Arabidopsis thaliana: one gene and its partners. The protein of the gene in region 2 interacts with the protein of the main gene of each other region in a pairwise test. Each region holds a gene or a part of one and is shown on either strand. Other genes may lie near its edges. The genes, in order: AT3G50650, bZIP6, AT2G18090 and MIF2.

The links.
Region 1: the proteins of bZIP6 (region 2) and AT3G50650 interact in a two-hybrid assay, tested with the Arabidopsis thaliana proteins (one large-scale study listed by BioGRID).
Region 3: the proteins of bZIP6 (region 2) and AT2G18090 interact in a two-hybrid assay, tested with the Arabidopsis thaliana proteins (one large-scale study listed by BioGRID).
Region 4: the proteins of bZIP6 (region 2) and MIF2 interact in a two-hybrid assay, tested with the Arabidopsis thaliana proteins (one large-scale study listed by BioGRID).

Annotation. Positions count from the first base shown.
Region 1 is NC_003074.8:18,805,499-18,810,301, forward strand, and holds AT3G50650 (GRAS family transcription factor), read right to left. Parts: upstream 2,746-4,803; 5' UTR 2,603-2,745; coding exon 974-2,602; 3' UTR 641-973; downstream 1-640. UniProt on the Arabidopsis thaliana protein: Probable transcription factor involved in plant development. Involved in environmental abiotic stress resistance. May increase the expression of stress-responsive genes. Binds DNA in vitro.
Region 2 is NC_003071.7:9,730,581-9,735,297, reverse strand, and holds bZIP6 (basic leucine-zipper 6), read left to right. Parts: upstream 1-1,897; 5' UTR 1,898-2,013; coding exon 2,014-2,697; 3' UTR 2,698-2,722; exon of another isoform or gene 2,723-3,006; intron 3,007-3,663; 3' UTR 3,664-4,019; downstream 4,020-4,717. Other genes in the region: GRF1 (growth-regulating factor 1), read right to left, coding at 4,157-4,717.
Region 3 is NC_003071.7:7,862,106-7,868,381, forward strand, and holds AT2G18090 (PHD finger family protein / SWIB complex BAF60b domain-containing protein / GYF domain-containing protein), read left to right. Parts: upstream 1-2,088; 5' UTR 2,089-2,395; coding exon 2,396-2,685; intron 2,686-2,798; coding exon 2,799-2,878; intron 2,879-2,954; coding exon 2,955-3,142; intron 3,143-3,295; coding exon 3,296-5,212; 3' UTR 5,213-5,715; downstream 5,716-6,276. Other genes in the region: AT2G18100 (transmembrane/coiled-coil protein (DUF726)), read left to right, coding at 5,824-6,044, 6,138-6,219.
Region 4 is NC_003074.8:10,922,909-10,926,500, reverse strand, and holds MIF2 (mini zinc finger 2), read right to left. Parts: upstream 1,794-3,592; 5' UTR 1,488-1,793; coding exon 1,185-1,487; 3' UTR 688-1,184; downstream 1-687. UniProt on the Arabidopsis thaliana protein: Inhibits zinc finger homeodomain (ZHD) transcription factors by interacting with them to prevent both their nuclear localization and their DNA-binding properties.

The DNA of each region.
Region 1 (4,803 bases), on a different chromosome or scaffold from region 2:
TCATTTTTTTTTTAATTTTTATTTCAGGTATCATCACACTTATAGATGTTGGATTCCTAACCATGATTTTCTAAAAAATGAAAAATCAAGCTGGCAAATTGTAAGCAATTAGCTGTGAAGAGTCAAGACTTGGTTGGGTTATTTGCAAAATACTTCTATGTATTGTTTTTGTTTGTGGCTAATATAAATAAAGGAATGGGACAGAGATTAGGCCTGTTTATTTTGGGCCAAGCATAAACAGAGTGGGCTTTTATCTTCGTTAGGGAAGTAAAATTTACTATCAGACTCACAGACAGAGTCAGAGTAGTGGCTGAGAGATATAGGAAATGGGGACCAAAAGACCACTGAAGAAGAAATTCGAGAGTTGACGTCATAGTGGCACGTTTGAAGTTCGAACAAAGAGAAACAAGACTGACACAGAAAGATTGAAATACTTGTCAGTGCGCCTTCGTATTTTTGGCTTTTACTTCACTGACAAATAATTATGCTCCTATTTTATTATTCAGTGAATGGTACAGAAAACATTGGTATATAATTTTCATGAAGTAAACAAAACTATATTAGGCAAGAAAAAGTGGAGACAAAATGATGAAAAGGGAGAAGAAATGGTGTGTTAGTGAAAGATCTTAGTGCAATTCAAATTTCAGTCTCTTTTATGGGACCATAATACTCTCATTTCAAAATCAAACTTCATCACCTCCTTTCCTCAATTTCAGGGGTTAATTCTAGTGTTTTTTTCATTCACATGAATTTGGTTTAGCTTCTTTCGTTTATACCAAAGAAATCTAGTCAAATGTTACATACAATATATATTACAAATGAACATAAACGACAAACCATCATCACTCCAAGCACTAGATAAAAAAGAGTAAGAGAATAGGCTAGAGACTAATTAAACATCCAAATCTAACCCCAAACAATTCAATTCTAAAAGCTAACTCAAAATACTAGATTAACTTATCGGACCAAGTAGTCAACGCCAAGAGGAAACGGTGAGGAGAGGCACATTGTTCCAAGCCAAGGAGATGAAACCTGGCTCCGATTCAACAAGTGAATACAATGTACTATAATTGTAGTTCCATAGTAGCAGCTTCGCTTGGCTAACCGCGTAATTACTCGGTTTAACCGGCTCAAATCCAGCTTTCTCCATCAACACTCTCCATTGTTCTTTCTCCTCCATTAACCCAAACCGGGTTCCCGGTTTATTATTATCATCATCTGATCGGACCAAATCCATAATCCTCCTACCGAACAACACTCTCTCCACTCTCAGCCTTTCTTTCGAATCTCGATCCAAATTCGGTTCAAGCGATTCAAAAACCGCGGAATAAAACCGGAGAGAGTTCTTAACCCGGTTAGCAAATTCAACCCGGTTTAAACTGACTTCGTATTCTCCAAGCGTCACAATCCTCGGGTTTAACGATCTAGCTAACCGGAGCGCCGTACCAACAGTCGTCGCTGTTTCATCTAGAAGCTTATAAAGCTCAAGCATAAAATTCACAACCAAAACCTCATCCGGGTCAACCCGAAAACTTGACCCGTTTAGTAATTGAATCGGAGTCAGAACCGGATAAAACTCGAAATTGAGATCCAAAATCGCCGCGAAATCACGGAGACGGTTTCCCGTAGCGATCAGAGACGGTCCCGGTGAGTCTCCTAGAGACGGAGCGGGTATACCCGAAATCCGGATCCGGGTGGGTTTACCAGAAGAACGGGTCGCTAAAGCTTGTAACAGAGCAGACCATTGAATACCTTGAAAAATCCCGAAATCGACTATGTGAATGTTGTTTGATTGATTCGTAGCTTCGAGAATTGCTTGATTCGCTGTTAAATGAGCGAACTTTGAATATGGACATGCGTCGTTTAAGGTTTTGTATGAGAGAATGAAATCTTCTAGGGATGACGACGACGATGACGACGGAGACTCTGTTTCTTTATGAGACAGAGCTTCTGCGAAGTAATACCCGACTCGTTGTATCGGGTCGCCTGATTCGGACACGGATTCTTTGATCCGAATTAGTGTGTCCGGTTTAGTTTCCGGTTTACGTGCATAATCGTGGATAGCTTTAAAAATCGGCTGGTTTAGATCAAAATCCGGCTGCGGCGGGGGAGGAGGAGGATGTTGTGGTGATGGCGGAGATGGAGACCATATAGCGGTGGAAGCTGGTGGCGGAGGGAGTTGTTGACTCGCTGAGTCATCTTTGTTGACTCGGTTGAGATATGAAGGAGCACTGAGTCGACTCGGGAATGAGACGAATGGATCATGGCCGTAGATTGGGAAGTCTGGATTGGTTTGTGACGCATCTCCACCGTTGATCAAACTCTCCATCCACTCGTCGGAGTCAAACTCCTCGGAAGCGACGGCTGCGTTTTGATGATGCTCCAGGTGTGGAAAGTGAAAACCTGGGTCGTTGGTTACTTGAAACGGGTCGGAGAAACCCGAACCGGGAAGAGTAAACCCGAAGGATGGATTGGGCCAGGGGTTGGGTTCTTGTTCTTGTTCTTCTTGTTGTTGATGTTGTGATTGTTGTTGCTGCTTCTGTTTGATGAGTTGTTGTGCTATAGCCATTAAGTTTCCGCTGTCGGTGCACATATACGCCATTCTCCGACTCACTTTCGCCGGCGATGAAGGCGTTTTTTTGTCTGTTATTTGGTGGTGATTGAGTAAGGCCCAGAGAGAGAGAGGGATATGAATGAAACCGGAGAGATTTTAGTAGGAAGAAAAAAGTAAGAAAGTGAGTATTTTCATTTTGATTTATCATTTTCTTTTTTTTTGTCATCCGATTTATCATTTTCGAGTACTGTATTTTTAATCAATTACCACTTTAGTTTAAAAGTACAAAATTACGTTATTAACTGCAAGAAATGAAGAAACTATAAAACCAACAACAACAACAAAAAATGAAGAAACTAACTAACATAGTTTACTAAAAAACTCAGTTTTGTATTTAATTATTTTCAAGAATTTAATAATAGAAATGTAATTTATCAAAATATCAATTGAATAATTTCTATATCTCATGAATTTGTAGTTTCGTATAATCTTACAAATTTATTCAGAAACCTTTTGACCAAAAAATAAAAAATACATAGGTTTTTTTTTGTTAAATAATTATTACCACTCTGTTAATATGGGTAAAAAAAAGAGTTGACGTTATGAAAAAAAAGAGAGAGTAAAACGATATCTCACTTATGGGACCCACAGACACGATGACGTCATGTATCGGCAGTTACGTATCGAAGAGTGTGACCTCATCTCCACCGTCTAGAATCAGATCAATGGCTTTGGCTGAAATGGTGAATGTGACACGTCGACAACTGTCTTCTGCTACTTGTCACCTGCATGTCGCCTGCAACTTTTCTGTCTTTTTTCATTTTAACTAACAGTATTATAAAGGTAAAAAGATTGATGTAAGAAAAGTAAAAAGAATTAGGTTATTATCTTCTGCTTTCAAGCCGCAAAGGTCAAGGTTTTTCAAAGCTGTTTCTTATCAACTAAAAGGGTCGTTAAATTGGACTTTGGTTAACAAATTTCAGTGACTTCATTGGTTTAGTTTCAGTTACTTTTGTAAAAAAACCTTTCGACAAGTTAAGCTAACATCTTGAATATGACTTGAGCAAGCAAAAATTAAACAATAGACATGTTTTATTTGTATACGCATGTCTTTTTTATCTCAACGTTAGTGTTGTGGAGGACGGCTTGTGGGTCCGTAAGTAGGCCCATATACAATGGAGCAAAAGCGATTTGTGGCGGGCTCTACTAGTATCTGTTGTTGGTGGACGAACTTTGACGAAGAAAATGTAGTAGCCATTAGCCAAAAGCTAAAAATTACACAAAAATACCAAAAAAAAAACACAAGCAAAGAAGAAACAAGAAAAGAGTCCAAAGAGGATTATAGAATTTAAAAGTCTTTCAATAACAAACCAAGTTTTATGAATTATCATTCATACACGACGCATAGTTCGAGAATTTGCTTATTTGAGGTTTGAGTGTGGAAGCTCTTTGTGACTTTGCAATTTCTAAAAACCTAAAGCGAATGAAATAGAAAAGAGCAATAGCGAACAAAAAGCACATGGGAACGACACTTGACTCTTTGAGACATCACTCTTTTCATTTCATCGTTGTATCCGCGTCAAAAGGCCTACTTCTCCACTACTTATAACTTAAATATCTAAATTACATTACTAAACATGGTATATGGTCCCTGGCCCAAGTCTACTTTTGATTTTCACTTTTGACATTTTTTACTACAAAGTGCCATGGACTGTTCTAAATTGGTAATGATTTCAACAAGGAGAATGAAGAAGATGATATTTTTGAAAAGGACTTGTCTTTGAAAATGGCAATCCCACTTTAGTGTTTAACCATTGCACCTATCTGCAAGTGGACTTGGAGAAAATAGATAGAGAGAGAGAGAGAATGAGTGGTGTATGAAAAGGACATGAGTAAGAATGAAAGGGTTTGATTTGTCTTTTCTTTCTATCCAAGTCATCGGTGGGGTTTCTTATGTATGAACAAAGAGTGGCATTGAGTCATCCCCAAGAAAGTCTCTCTATATATTTACCATTTTTGTCACATTCTTTGCTTTTTTTTTTAAATACTAATTTTTAGTTTCAACTCTTACCAACTAAAATTTACCTATTTTTGTCTCCTCCTTAGCTTTTTACACTTATTTTCGTTTGAACCTTTAATTAACCAAAATATATTTACTATTTGAATCAGTTAAACAGAAATTATTAAGTCAGTAAGAAAAATATATATTTGGTGACGATTATCTCATACAAAACAGAAAGAGACTTTTC
Region 2 (4,717 bases):
GGATAAATTTGTTGTACTTATCATTGTGGTTTAAGTTGATTTATGATTTATAAAAGGTTGTATACATACATATGTTATAACGAAATTGTGAGGACATATTTTTAAGATCTACTAAAAAGTTACTTTTAATTTCTTTGGAGAATGTTGTTTTTGTTGGATTTGAAAGACTTATAGACTCAACCCAGAGATTTTAGTGAATGGTGAACCAAAATCTGACCAAGAGTTTTCTTCGAGTGAGAACCATGTGTGTGTATTTATTCAGTTTAGTTTACATAGGATCTTTCAATTAGAGAAAAATTATTTATATAAAATTATTTTATCTAGGTTGGAAGACCAATTTTAAACCAAATAATAAAGTTATTAACATTTTCAGTGCCACTTTTATATTTTCTTTATTTTAGCGAAGATTTTGCGTCAATGTACGATTTTAAAATAAAGATGGACATCTCTAATTCATCAAAATGACACAAGAAAAAATATTTAGCATTAGAGCATGAAAATCAAATCAAATCATGAACTGATGATATCATTTATTTCAGTCTTTCTTATTTTTTGTTTTATTTTTGCCTATTAGCTAGCCTAATGCCAGTTTTATCTCCCTACATCCAAATTCGAGCCCACGCAAGTTTCTGAACAAGATTTACACGATTTGATATTTCAATAACAAATTGGGCTAGACAATAGTAAATCTTGATGCGTTAAAAAATACGTAGAATCACCTACTTATATTCTATAATAGCAACAATATATATATTTAATAAAAGAGAAGTTGTGATTATTAAAACTAAAAAGATAATGTGGGAAGCATTTGAATGATACATCTTTATGCGATTAAAGTTTGATTTAACATGCTACCAAACCATATAATAAAAGTTTTCTAAATATATTTCTGCTTTACTACTTTTGAAGATTTGGCATGTGGCCGTTGCTATAGTTTTTCTCTTCTTTATTATCTTCTTATTTCGAATAAACTAACTAACCGAAAATTTAGAGCACAAAAATGTATTTAAAAATCATTAATTTGTTGTTGGACGTATTATTCATTGATAAGATTATTTTTTCTTTTATTTATTTGTTAGATAAATAAGATTCTCTTTCGTTCTTAAATAGCTTTTCGTTAAACATAAATATTTTGTTTAATTCCAATTAATTTTGAAATTACTTTATCACGATTGATAAAAAACACACAAAAAATAACATATTGAGAAAATATATCAGTATTCGGTATTTATTTTTAGTTTGGTAGTTACACCAGGTACCAACTAATATATAGATTCTCTAAGTACCTTTCAAATACTAAAATCATATAAACAACTTACTCAAACATTTTGTGGAAAAGAAAAAAACATTTTTGATACGAACCAATATGAAATAAAAAGCTGGATTTAGTTAAAATCAGATAAATTTTGATTGAAATAAAAACCAAAAACGAACGTTGTGATTGAATTTTATGTTAGTTGTTTCATGTCCAACCACTAATTACACCAACTACACATATAAATCAATCGACCAACGACACCATATTCATTTTTTTGAGCCTCAAATTTATTTTATTTATTTGAACTTCTCTCTTTTTCTTTGTTCTGTTGTAAATCTAGATTTGAATACAATGGCGACAAATTAGATGAATGGACAATGCATGTGTTAAATATGGACTGTTTCTTCATCACTAAGCTATAACAAACATTTGGTTTAACAATTTTAATCACTTTTTTATTTTCAGAAAGTGACCTTAAACGAGTCCTATTGGCTATTGGTGTCCCACAAAATATTTTTCTACTTTCATATAAATCATAAAAGTTGGGTCTTGAAAAATAATACCAACCCCACATAGTGCCACATGACTCAAAAGTCGTTATACGTATAAAATACGGTCATACATAGTATTTCAAAAATTACCAAAATACCCTTACCAATTTTCCTTTAAATTCCAGTCTCCTTCAAATCAATGCTTCCCTTTTCTCCTTCTCTTCTCTCTCTTCTCTCTAATTAAACAATTTTAAACCGGTCATTATGATGTCTACTGTACCGGCCTTTACCTTTACTGAACCGGGTTTGGTTAACCAATTATCGGATTTCCAGACCGGATTCACTCCTTGGGAATTGAACTGCTCCGATCTCTTCTCTACAATCCATCTCGAACCGGTCGTACCGAGTCCTTGTTCTGGTGAATCCGATGCCGGTTCTGTCAAAATTAACACCGATTTTAACGGTTTTGACGAATCGTGTATCGGTTCCATCAAAACTAACTCCGGTTCTGATGATTCCAACCTTTTCCACGGCGTACCGAGTCCTCAATCCGACGAATTGGACTCAAAAAACACGAAAATCCGAAGTAACGCCACGAATCATAACCGGAACAAATTGAACCGGTCGGTTTTGCAGGTGACTGACGACCGTAAACGCAAACGGATGGAATCAAACCGAGAATCAGCGAAGCGGTCGAGGATGCGTAAACAAAGACACATTGATAATTTAAAAGACGAAGCAAATCGTCTCGGTTTAGAAAACCGGGAACTCGCAAACCGGCTTCGAATTGTTTTGTACAACATCGCATTAATGTGTACGGACAACAATCAGCTTTTGTCGGAACAAGAGATTCTCAGACGGAGATTCTTGGAGATGAGGCAGATTTTGATTTTCAGACAGCTTCAGCTGAATCCATCATTGATCATCAATCATCATCATATGATTTGAAAGAAAAAAAAATAGAAAAAAAAAAGTTTAGAACGGAAAAAAAAAATTAGATAAAAGCGAAGTATTTTTATTTCTGTGTCTCTTTTGATCACTCTTATGTGTAAATGAGAATATGAGTGTTACTTTAGATGATGGACTTCGTTTTTTTTTTGCTGTTGTTTCGTACTTGGGCCTCTCTAATCATATTTATCAAGGCCCATTAGTGAGTGGGCTAAAAGATATAAGCCTAATCAACTACTCTTGTTGACGACTACCACCCTATCATGTATTTAAAACCTTCTGCATCAAGTTGGAGTCGTCGGCTTTGAGGGTTGGAATGAAACCTCTACGTCAACCAGAGTCTTTCACAGACTTCCCAATTCCCATGTTCAGCTTGTTTCCTCTTTGATTCCTTCTTATTCCTCAAGTAGACAGACCGCAAGATTCTTCCTACAAGCCTTTTTTTTATCAAGTACGTAGACGGAATTAAGTATAGTTAGAAAAATATATGCAAATTTGAATAACGTATTATTTGTTTAAAATATATGCAAAACTATTAACCATTAACCATTAACCATTAACCATTTTGGGAAAAGATTGTTAATGATCTAACACTAAATTTATCATATGAAAGCAACAAGGTTATGTACTCCAAACTATATCTAATACTGTACTCTTGAGTCTTGAAGCATCTTGCATCTAGTGAAGATATTTATTCGGTAAGAATTGTCGTGTCTAGTGCAAGTGGAAGTGTCTGGATCGTCCCACACATGCCACGTGTTAGAATAAAATCTCCAAAAATTACACAAAAAAATCCAAATTAAAAACGTTATGGACCATCCATACATTGAGAGATTGGTCCTCCTCCACTCTTTATAATCAATTTCATTTTTTCTTGAAGAAAAACAAAAACAGGAATAAGTGAAAGGTAGGGTTAGAGAGAGAAGAGCAAAAAGTAGTTACAGGGACCCAAAAGTGGAGAAACAGAACCCAAAAAAAAAAAAAAAAAAACTAAAGTTGGAGACAGTTGTTTTGAAGAAGTGTTCTATGTCCAATCCACAAACAATGTTGCCTCTTGTCTGCAACTAGGAAACCTCTCGTCAAAATCTCTCAAGGATCACAAATTTTGTGACACTAACACTTGGTTTTAATTTTGTGGTTAGTGAAAAAAGTAAAAATTTGTATATTTTTCAGTTTTAGAACATTGTGTACATAGACTTCTTAAAACCAGGGATTTAGCTCAACGGCTATAAGAGGAACAATAAAATCAAGAATTTGATGATTGAGAACAAATAAGAGGAAAAACAAAGAACAAAGATTATGAAGAAAAAAACACACATCTCTCCTTTAGTTTCTTCTTGCTTTATATAGAAAGAAAACAGCAACAGAAACAACAATGCATCAAGTAAGAAAAACCAGAAACAGAGAAAAACAGAGTGTTTTTGTTTTCGCAATTGTCCTTAGTTTTTTTTTTTCAGTTTCACAGAGAAGGAGCAGTAGCAGAAGTATTCATCAGCGTGGTCGGGCCAAGCGGATCTTTTCCATCACCGTTCTTATTGTTGTTATCGCCAATGATGGTGCTGCTTGCCGAGCTGCTGTTAGAAAGAGAACCAAATGTCGACTTTTGCAAGACGCCTGTTGGAGAGGAACCAAACTTGGGACTATTGGTCGTGCTGTTTAGTACCTCGCCGAGTGGACCTCCCATGGAGTTGTTATTACCCCAGGAGATTGGTATCCAGTTATTCGTCTTTTTCCCGGGGTCAAGAAACTCGGTGTTGACGCCTAATCCCATGTGGATCGCGGGGTCAAACTCACGCGATAACCTTAAAGGTGAGAGTGCAAGTTTATCTTGAACAGGGGAAGATGGAGCCATAGGGATTGACATTGAGAGCTGAGTCCAATCCGATTTCAGCTCTTCGGGCCAAGAATCGACATTGTTGTGATTCCCCGCGTGCTTGGCTTGGTTGCCGAAGTCAAGATACGATCCAAAGCCTTTGGAAGAGGTTGCATACGAGGCTTGTTTATGCGACGGATTAAGTAA
Region 3 (6,276 bases), 1.9 Mb from region 2:
AACTAGTTCCATTAGTTAAAATTAAAAATTGCCGGTATTGTTTTGTTAAATATTTTATTTTGATAAAATCCTCTGATCTCTATCATTCGAAGTCAAAGCTGTTTTGTTCACGTAAAACTGCATGTGTGATCCTATATATTGTATATTGATAAATACGTTTAACAATGACAATCTAGTGAGATAGCTCATGTCACATCGACCTATGATCAATGGATTACTTCAGTTTGATAATATGTTTGTATGTGATCACGAATTATATATTATATACCAATCGATTTTTCATTGTTTTATGTACTATAATTTGATTTCAGCTCACTACATATAATATTTAAACGTGACATGTTCATCTTTTTTCGTCGTCGATCGACATATCAACTATAAGATTAGTCGGTTGTACGTATAAATCTTGACCTTTTACCATGGATTTGTCCTATAAAAGCTTACTAGAGACTAGAGACCAGAACGCATTAATATTATTAGGTCTATCTTCTATCACTTCATAGTGTTTCTTTAACACTCATGTTTTGCAAGTGTCGTTTTGTACTATTGGAAAAGATTATTGTTATAAAAAAAAAAATGAAACAAAACTCTAAAAAATCAGTTAATCTTAGTTATAAAACATTATCCTGCTAGAAATCATTGCAACTTTAATAAAGTATTGAGTCTTGAATCGTTATGTCCACTTCGTTTATTTTATATAAAAGTTTGTCAACTAATTAATAGCTGATTTTTTTTTTCTTTTAAGAGAAAGAAGATCTCGAAATGAGAATTAAAGATAAGATATATGGTTAGGTAGCGAGTAGAAGACCAAAGCAAGAAACTACGACCACGACATCTTGCACATAAGAAAAAAAAAAAGTAGTTCAATTTCATTTTCGCTTTGGTCCACTTTATTATTTAACAAAAAATAATATCTAATAAATTACATTAATATAACAGTCCGTGTTAGACTAAGACACGAAGCCTCCCCCACTAAATCGACGCAAATAAAAATAAACAAATGGTGGGGTTAAGAGTTTAATTCGAGCTGTGGAATTTTTTTATAAATATACAAAAATAATAATATTTAAAATAATATATATTACGATAACAAATTTTTATGTCAATCAATTATATTTTAAGAATCTTCTAAAATCAAATATTATTGAACTAATAATTTGAATAATAATTTTAATTCCACTATTATTGAAAATATTCATATCATTAGTTTTTAAGGGTGTATAGTGAAAAAATTCCTCAATTTCAAATATGTTAATACAAATTTCCCTTTTTAAAAATTATCATGAAATTGGACAAACTATATTTATATTGAAAAAGATATATAAACTTATACAACACAAATTGTAAACAAAAATAACATGATGTTCTTCAATAAAATTATAAATCATCAAACCTAAACTCTAAAATTGTCAAAGTAAAAAACCTAAATTGACGAATTCTAATTTATTATAGCGAAATTCTCTGATGTTTGTATGATGTCGAAGTTGATTATGAGAGATTTTGTAAAATTTTGTGTTTTAATTTTAACCATAGTTTATCTAATTTTTACGACAATGTAGAAAGACAGGATTAAGATATTTGAAAAATTGAAGTTTTTTTTTATAAAATATATAATTGAATAATTTCTTATAGAATTTTAGAAAAAAATTTTAGATAAAATTAAAAAACACAAATGTAATTCTTTTATGTAGAATTTGGGGAACCAGACTACAACAAATCATAAATTTCTCTAAATTTACCTAAAATCATATTAAAAATTAATAAATCATTATGAATCTTAAATTACTTAAAATATAAATTTGAAAATACTCCTCTAACTCAGAGATCAATTTTTTCTAATGCCTCGTGATTTTTTTGCATCTTGTAGCTTAGTCACCTATATATATTTTTAGTGGTAACAAGATTCTCTGTTAAAAAAATAATAAAAATTAAAAATAATAATAGTTTATTTTATGGGAAAAGACGCGAGTGGCTCCCACCAGCCTCAACTTTGCCCACGTGGAACCAGCCATATGCGCGGCGTTTAGACAACAAAAAAAAAGCGTGTTGTTTCTTTCTCTCTCTAGAAAGTCAAAAAAAGGAGACAGACAACCAAACACTGCCTTGTCACATCTCTCTCTCTCTTGCTTTTGGCGAGTAACGAGTAAGTCCATTTTCCATGTGCCCACTGTGTCTTCTCTCCTTACACGCCACCATCTCCTCCACCTCCTCCTCCCTCCCTTCTCCAATTCCCAATTCTCCTCCAAACCCTAGGGTTAGGGTTTCCACGATTGCTTCACCTTCCCTTCTTTTTTTAAAACCTCAGATCTTCCGCTTCCTCGTTCTTGTCTTTTTGTTGAGCTGAGAAGCAAAAAAAAAGTGTTCTTTGGCTTCACGAGGAGCCAACAACGAATCGATGCCGGAAATCGATCTTATGAGAGTCGATCATTGTGTTTCCGATGTTAAATTAGATGATTCTTCTTCTTCTCCTCCGGGATTCTTCGATGGTGGTGGTGTTCCGTTAGATTCGGATGTGAAGTTAGACGAAGAAGATTCCGATTCTTTGAAGAAGAGAGGTAGACGTGGTCGTCCGCCGAGAATTTTAGCTAAAGCTTCTTCGCCTCCGATTTCGAGGAAGAGAAGAGAAGATGAAGATGTTTGCTTTGTTTGCTTCGATGGTGGTAGTCTTGTTCTCTGCGATCGTAGGTTAGTGAAGTTTTGAGCTTAGACAAGTTACTCTCCCAGCTCCATTACATTCCTACTTGTAAAAATAGAAACTTTTACTTGTGACTGATGATGATTCTTTCTTAATTTGTCAGGGGATGTCCAAAGGCTTATCACCCAGCTTGTGTTAAGCGTACTGAAGCATTCTTCAGATCGAGATCTAAATGGAATTGTGGTAAGTTGTTCAATTTTTATCTGTTTTCTCTTCTTTGAGATGGTTCATAGTGATGAGGATGGTTTTTTGGTTTCAGGTTGGCACATATGTACTACTTGTCAAAAGGATTCGTTCTACATGTGTTATACTTGTCCGTATTCAGTTTGTAAGAGGTGTGTTAGAAGCTCAGAGTATGTAGTTGTAAGGGAGAACAAAGGATTCTGTGGAATTTGTATGAAGACTATAATGCTTATTGAGAATGCAGCTGAAGCTAACAAAGAAAAGGTATGAGAATCCTGTCTACATTTTGTTACTTTCTCTTACTCGCAGTACTACAAGGTTATTTGTGGAACTTGAGGTCTGTTCTTGTAATGTCGCTTTGTTTTTTTAATGTGGATTCTTTCTTCTAGCTAAATGTATTACATGTACATTTTCTAGGTTCAGGTTGATTTTGATGATCAAGGCAGCTGGGAGTATCTTTTTAAGATTTACTGGGTTTCTCTTAAAGAAAAGCTAGGTTTATCGTTAGATGATCTTACCAAAGCAAAAAATCCATGGAAATCTTCTTCTTCTACTGCCGCTAAGCGAAGAACTACTAGTCGGGTTCATGAAAAGGATGATGGAAATTCTCCTGGGGTTATGAAAATACGTCGTGCTAAAGTAAGGAAAATGGATGCTGTTTCTGTGAGTAATTTGGGTCCTTCTTTGGATTCAAACTGTTCTTTGGGTGACAGACTTCCACAATTGACTAGTGCTGCTACTTGGGCAACCAATGAGCTTTTGGACTTTGTGGGGTATATGAAAAACGGTGATATTTCTGTCTTATCAAAGTATGATGTCCAAACTCTCGTGCTAGAGTATGTGAGACGGAATAATCTACAAAACTCTCCTCAGAATTCTGAAATAATGTGTGACTCCAAGCTTATGAGATTGTTTGGAAAGGAGCGAGTGGACAACTTGGAAATGTTAAAGCTTCTTGATTCTCACTTCATCGATCAAGTTAGGTCTCCAGTCACAGATAATTCAGCCGGAGGAGTCACTGAAACTATGTCTTACCAGGTTAATGCGGGCAGAAGCTGTGATAGGTTAAATACATCTGAACAGCATCAAGAAGGGGAATCACAGCAATTGAACGGGCACAGTATTCAAGTTAGACCTTCCAGTTCTGATAGCAGAAACCATGCAGTTGTAAAACCTGACACAAGTGCCACTCTGTCCAATAAGCCAATTGATGGTTTGGATACAAATATGGTATGGTTATATGGAGATCCAGATGGGAAGATTCATGGACCATTTTCGTTATATAACCTGCGACAATGGAATTCAAGCGGGCATTTCCCACCAGAGCTGAGAATATGGAGGTTGGGTGAACAGCAACACAGCTCCATACTTTTGACTGACGCATTAAATGGGCAGTTCCATAAAACAGGGTTATTACAGAATCATTCTATCCCCAAGCAGGAAGTGACAGCTACTATAGCTAACGATCAAAACAGGTCTGTGGCTGTTCCTAAAATAGAGAGTAGAATACTTGACTTCAGCCCCAACTCAGTGTGCACTGACCAGAGTGTTATTTCTAGCAGTAACAGTGTCATCACAAGGAGCTCGGATGTGAGTAACAAAAGCGGAAACAATTGTAGCCACGCCGTGCCATTGGATTTTTCTCTTTCTAATGAAAGGGATACTGTGGGTTTTATCTCTCTCTGGGACAAAAGAAAAGTTGAAAGTTCTTTGCTTGTACAAAGCCCAATAAGCTGTTCACTCTCGCTGGCTACATTACCTAGAAACTCAAACTGCTCTCTGCCACCACATGAAAGATGGAGTGCTGGTCAGACAGATGGAAACAGTGCAGCAACGACTGCTTGCAATCAAAACGGTAGTCTTAGCGGCTCAGCTGAGAAACAAGTCACGGCTACAGTCCAGTCATGTGGACAGAACTGGAATGCTGCAACTCCAAGCAGTGCTTCAAATGTGTGGGATTCGAACTCGGGTTTGACGTCTTTCCCAGACAATCAAGAAATAGACTTTTTAGATCTCTTTAGTCCAACTTTCAAATTCAACTTTGCATCTACTACCACTGATTGGCAACCCATTGTGGCTGGACCTGACGAATGCGACGAATCAGTCTCAGATCTTTTGGCAGAAGTGGAAGCCATGGAGTCCCAAAAACGTCTTCCTTCTCCAACTTCGACATTCCGTGGTCCTGAAGAATTATTAATCCGGCACTCAATAAACGATAGCTTCAGTCCCGCAGAAGGACATAGCCCAGCACTAGATGTAAGCAAAGGTGACTCCATGAGCTCCACAAACGATCTTCAAATGCATTCACGATCTAACAGCACCGTGCATTTTTAGTCGTGGGCTCGGGTTCACATAGAGAGAAATCATAACCTGGGGCACAGGTTACCATAGATCATCCAATGTCCTAGATTCGTCTGATCGATGGTGGACTATGCCCTCTTTCTTCTCTTTTTTTTTGCAGGATTATTACAGAACATAAATAAATGGCAGAATCATCAGCAAAAATGAAAAAAAACGAGTGGTGCATATGTAGAAGATGTTTCTTCGCGGTATTTTTGACTGCACCCATTGTTTTCTTCAGTATTTAGGTTTTGTAACGTTGTCCTGTGTTAAGATTTGCACAGACATACCCAACTTCTGTATCTTTTTTTTTTACATTGTTTGTACTTAGGAACAAGTATAAAAATGGGAAGAAATTGTTGTCCATGGATGTAATCAAAACATTTGTAGGGATCATATCATCTTATTATTCTATATATATGATAATGATAGTGTAACGTTTCATTCTTTTTGTTTTGAATGTTTCAAATCTATTTATATCATGACAAGTGTAGGCTCCAGTTTATTCTACTTGTTTTTGGAAAATGAGACGAACTCTATTGATCGTTTCTGGATTTGGAAACTTTTTGTTGTTTCTTCGATTTCGTTTTTGTTGATCTGAGTTGATGGTGGAAGCTACGTCAAATTTGACGCCGTCGCAGAGATACGCGGCAAGCGCTTTGTTTGCAATCGCGCTTAACCAAGCGCAGATCAGCCAGTCAAAGCCATTGGGAATCCCGGCCACCGGAAGTACCGGAGAGCCAATCAGCAGCGACAGTGATCCTATCTCCGATGAGGCGGATCTCTGGGTCCACGAAGTTTCCGGCCTCCTCCGTCCTGTTCTCAGGTGATCTTGAAATCATCTGGAATAGTCATGTTCATATGCGTCTCTGTGTGTGTAATGTATACATTTTGAGCTGTCTCTGTAATTTGCTTTCAGATGTCTTCAGATTGATTCATCAGCTTGGCATGGCCTTGAAGAGATAGCTGCTTCTACTCAGGCTAAGGATCACATCGGTGCGGTATGATTAATTTCTCTCCGTATTTTGAAATTTCGTTGTGAATGTTGAGGAGCTCTT
Region 4 (3,592 bases), on a different chromosome or scaffold from region 2:
TGATTTAGATAGATTAAATGCGACTTATTATAATTTTCTAAAAAACAAAAGATCAGAAAACCACAAGCCATTATCGTGTATGATTAGTTCTAAATCTAATTTTTCTCCATCATAGCAAGTTAGCAACCAACAAGGATTAGATTTGTGGGCCTCCGCCTCCCAATTAAATTCAAATTTATTTGCCTATCTTTTATCCTCTGAAATAAAATTTGAAAAATCTCTCTTAAAGCTAAAAGGTTATAGAATATTTTAATATATACTATTTTTAATTAAAAGCTGGGAAGGCATATATCCCTGAAAATATTGGTTCTCATCATAGCATAATTAAGAAATCTGAGCTTAAATAATCTAATCGGTCTCGAGTTAACATGCCCTTCACATAAATCTGAGCTTTATGCACTTCACATAAAGCTAAATATTTTAAGATAAATCATGGAAAATAGTGTGAGACTTAACTCCACCATTTATATTTTTTAAAAATAAAGCTATAGGAGTGGTCTCAAAGGGATCAATTTAAACCTTTTTTCATCGCCTCCCAAAAAAAATATTTACTACAATCATTAGTGATTTATTTATACTAATATATACATATATATATATATATAATTAATTAAATTAGTTATTGAGATAATCAATAAATGGGTTACTATATTCAGCTACCTTATCACAAGCGAAGAACCTTCCATATATGTTAAGGAACAATCAATCTCATTCATTCATTTATCAGTAAATACACATATTGATTTTGTAACAAATTCCTTTCACAATACACTTAACAATTGTCTTGAGTGGACGACATTGAATTGAAACACGAGTACACCACACATGCTTCGTCAGCTTCGACAAAATAATCAAAATAGATCAAAATACAATAACATGACCCAACCAGAATACAAATCAAACAATATAATACATGAAAAACAACAATAATCTTAATATTTCACTTCAGAAGCCTAACCTTTTCTGAACATTCTCAAACCCCAAAAGCATCCAATTATTATAAATCTTTCAATGCTTCCACCACCTTCAATCTATAAATCTCTTATAGTTTCTTCTTAAATTCACAAAGAAACACAAGCCTTTCATATTAAAGAAGAAAAAAAAGCAAATAAAATATTTTCAGTTTCATCATCTGTATATGTAACACACAAACACACTCATAGCTAGCTCTAGATTTTTCTTATCTAATTTCCAGTAGAAGGAGGTGAATTACAGTCGCAAACAACCTCGGTTTCTATTTCTCTCCGATGGAAACTGCGATGGCAGCCACAGGCGGCGCACGTTAGCGCTGCCACGGTACCTTCCTCTCCTCGGCTTGCCATGAACTCACGGCAGCCGTCAACAGCGTAACCTCCCACCGCCGCAGCGTGGTTCTTCTGACATTCTCCGTACCTCACAGTTCTCACTGTCAGAGACGAAGCCGTCGACGAGCTTCTAGAAGGTTCCTCTGGCGAGGCTCTCCTCAACACCACCTGACGCTTCCTCATGCTTTCTCACTTCAATTCTCGTCTCAGCTCTTTCTTCTTCTTGACTTTTTTTTATGAAATCTAAACTTGTAATAATGTATATATATTAAAGAGGAAGAGAAAAATGTATAATAAAGTTTTTGTTCTTTTACTTTAATTTCTACGGCTCGAAATAGTTAGGGAGTGAAAGATCAAAACAATTACAAGAGGACCTCGGTTGTTAACCCTAACCCTAGATGTGATATTTATAGCATTTCTGATAGCAATCGACAACCAAACCTTAGATATTTTTCTTGCAACTGCATATATATATATATATATATATGTGTGTGTGTGTAGATGTACATGTCATGGTATAGATTGATGCATCATCACAACCAATCAGACCTACTAAGCTAATCTACCAGAATTTTGTTTTTGATGGGTATATCATATATGTATATCTGTCTTTTGTAATTAAATGACCACAACTATGCATTGAATTATAATTACAAGTTTTGTTTTCTTGTTACCAACCTAAATATGGTGGATGTTTTCTTTTTGGCTCATGTTATACAAAATTCAGATTATGTTTAAAGTATCGTAATTTTTGTTTTTGGAATACTAAGACACTTTAATATTGCAATAATGCGTACTAGTACTTGTCTCATCCGGTTAGAAGAAATTGAATAAGTTTATGCTGAATCGAAATTGGAATCTACTGATCTCCAGTTAAGAAAGAGATTATATTTGTCATCGTTCTGATTTTTGATCCGAATGGACGGACCAAAATGTCATAACTCCAGAGATACAAAAACAAAACATTCACGAGACATGGAGCCACCACTTTGTGAGTTAGGCACCCGTCTTTAGTTGATAATATCACCCTTATACATTGTATTTGGATCTTCCAAACTTCTGCTAGATTCCACTTTCGCAGAATACGTACTCTTACATTCCAACAAATATATATTGTGCGCTAACTAGTAACCATAACCATAAGCCATAGAATAAAATGAAGTGGATGAAGAATTACAACCTGCAACAGTAAATATATTACGACAAAAATTAAATTATGTGTGGAAGTTTGTGGATGCAACTTTTGTTCGATTTATTTTGCGAGAAAACCCTAAAATGATGAGAAAGCTTTTCTTTAAGACCAAACAAAGTGATTGGTTTTAAAAGGAAGGAAACAGCTAAGCTTGTCTTTTTAAGACCTAATATGTACTGTGGTGGCCCCCTTTAACATTCATCCTCTTTAATCCTCTTTTTATTTCCTTCTTTCATTCTATTTTATTTCATAATTAGACAGGTGGTTACGAAAATTATTTATACGTATCATAAAGAATCGAACTTGGTATCGAGATCGAATATATATGCATAGACCAAAAAGTGATTATGTCGGCTATGTGATATCTTGACCCACTTCTATAGTATACCCGAGGAATTGTACGGATTTAAATAAAAAAAATCAATTTTCGTTGTAATCTAAGTACCAATCAATATATTTAAGATTGTATGATGAATAGTCATGAACAAAAATAGAAGTGTGTATAAATGTATATACATTTGGACCTAACAACGTGGGACTGATAAGTTGGGCTACCAAACCTATTTTGTACATCATGAGGACAACGCAATCCTTCACGATCGCTTGCTCCTTTGCAGTTACGTATCGATTTTTTTGAATTACACATGCATACATTCATTCGTTTTTCGGTTAGACATCAAATTTTCTTATTCATGTGTTCCGTCAATCCTTTGATATTTTTATAAGAAATACATTGATATTTTCTCCTTCCAAATTAGATATAAACATAAATCATGAGATGGTATATAACAATAATTGCATAACCAAACGTTGTTGGTACTTTATAATATATATTTAAAAAAAAAAAAAAACTGTTGTAGTTTCATTGTTCCACACTAAACGTTGTTTCATGAGATTAACATCGGCTGAAAAAAAAAAAAAGTTTCTCTCCCAGGCACGAGTTTCGAGGTAACTAAATGAAGCAAATGTTTTCAAAAAAACGGGATCTTACCCACTTTTTTTAGCTATTCTTGGAAACTCCCACTTCTCCCTCGCCGACATCCCCCTCATCTCCCGTTATTCCGGCGTCTCATCTCCGTCCTTTTGCTCACCTATC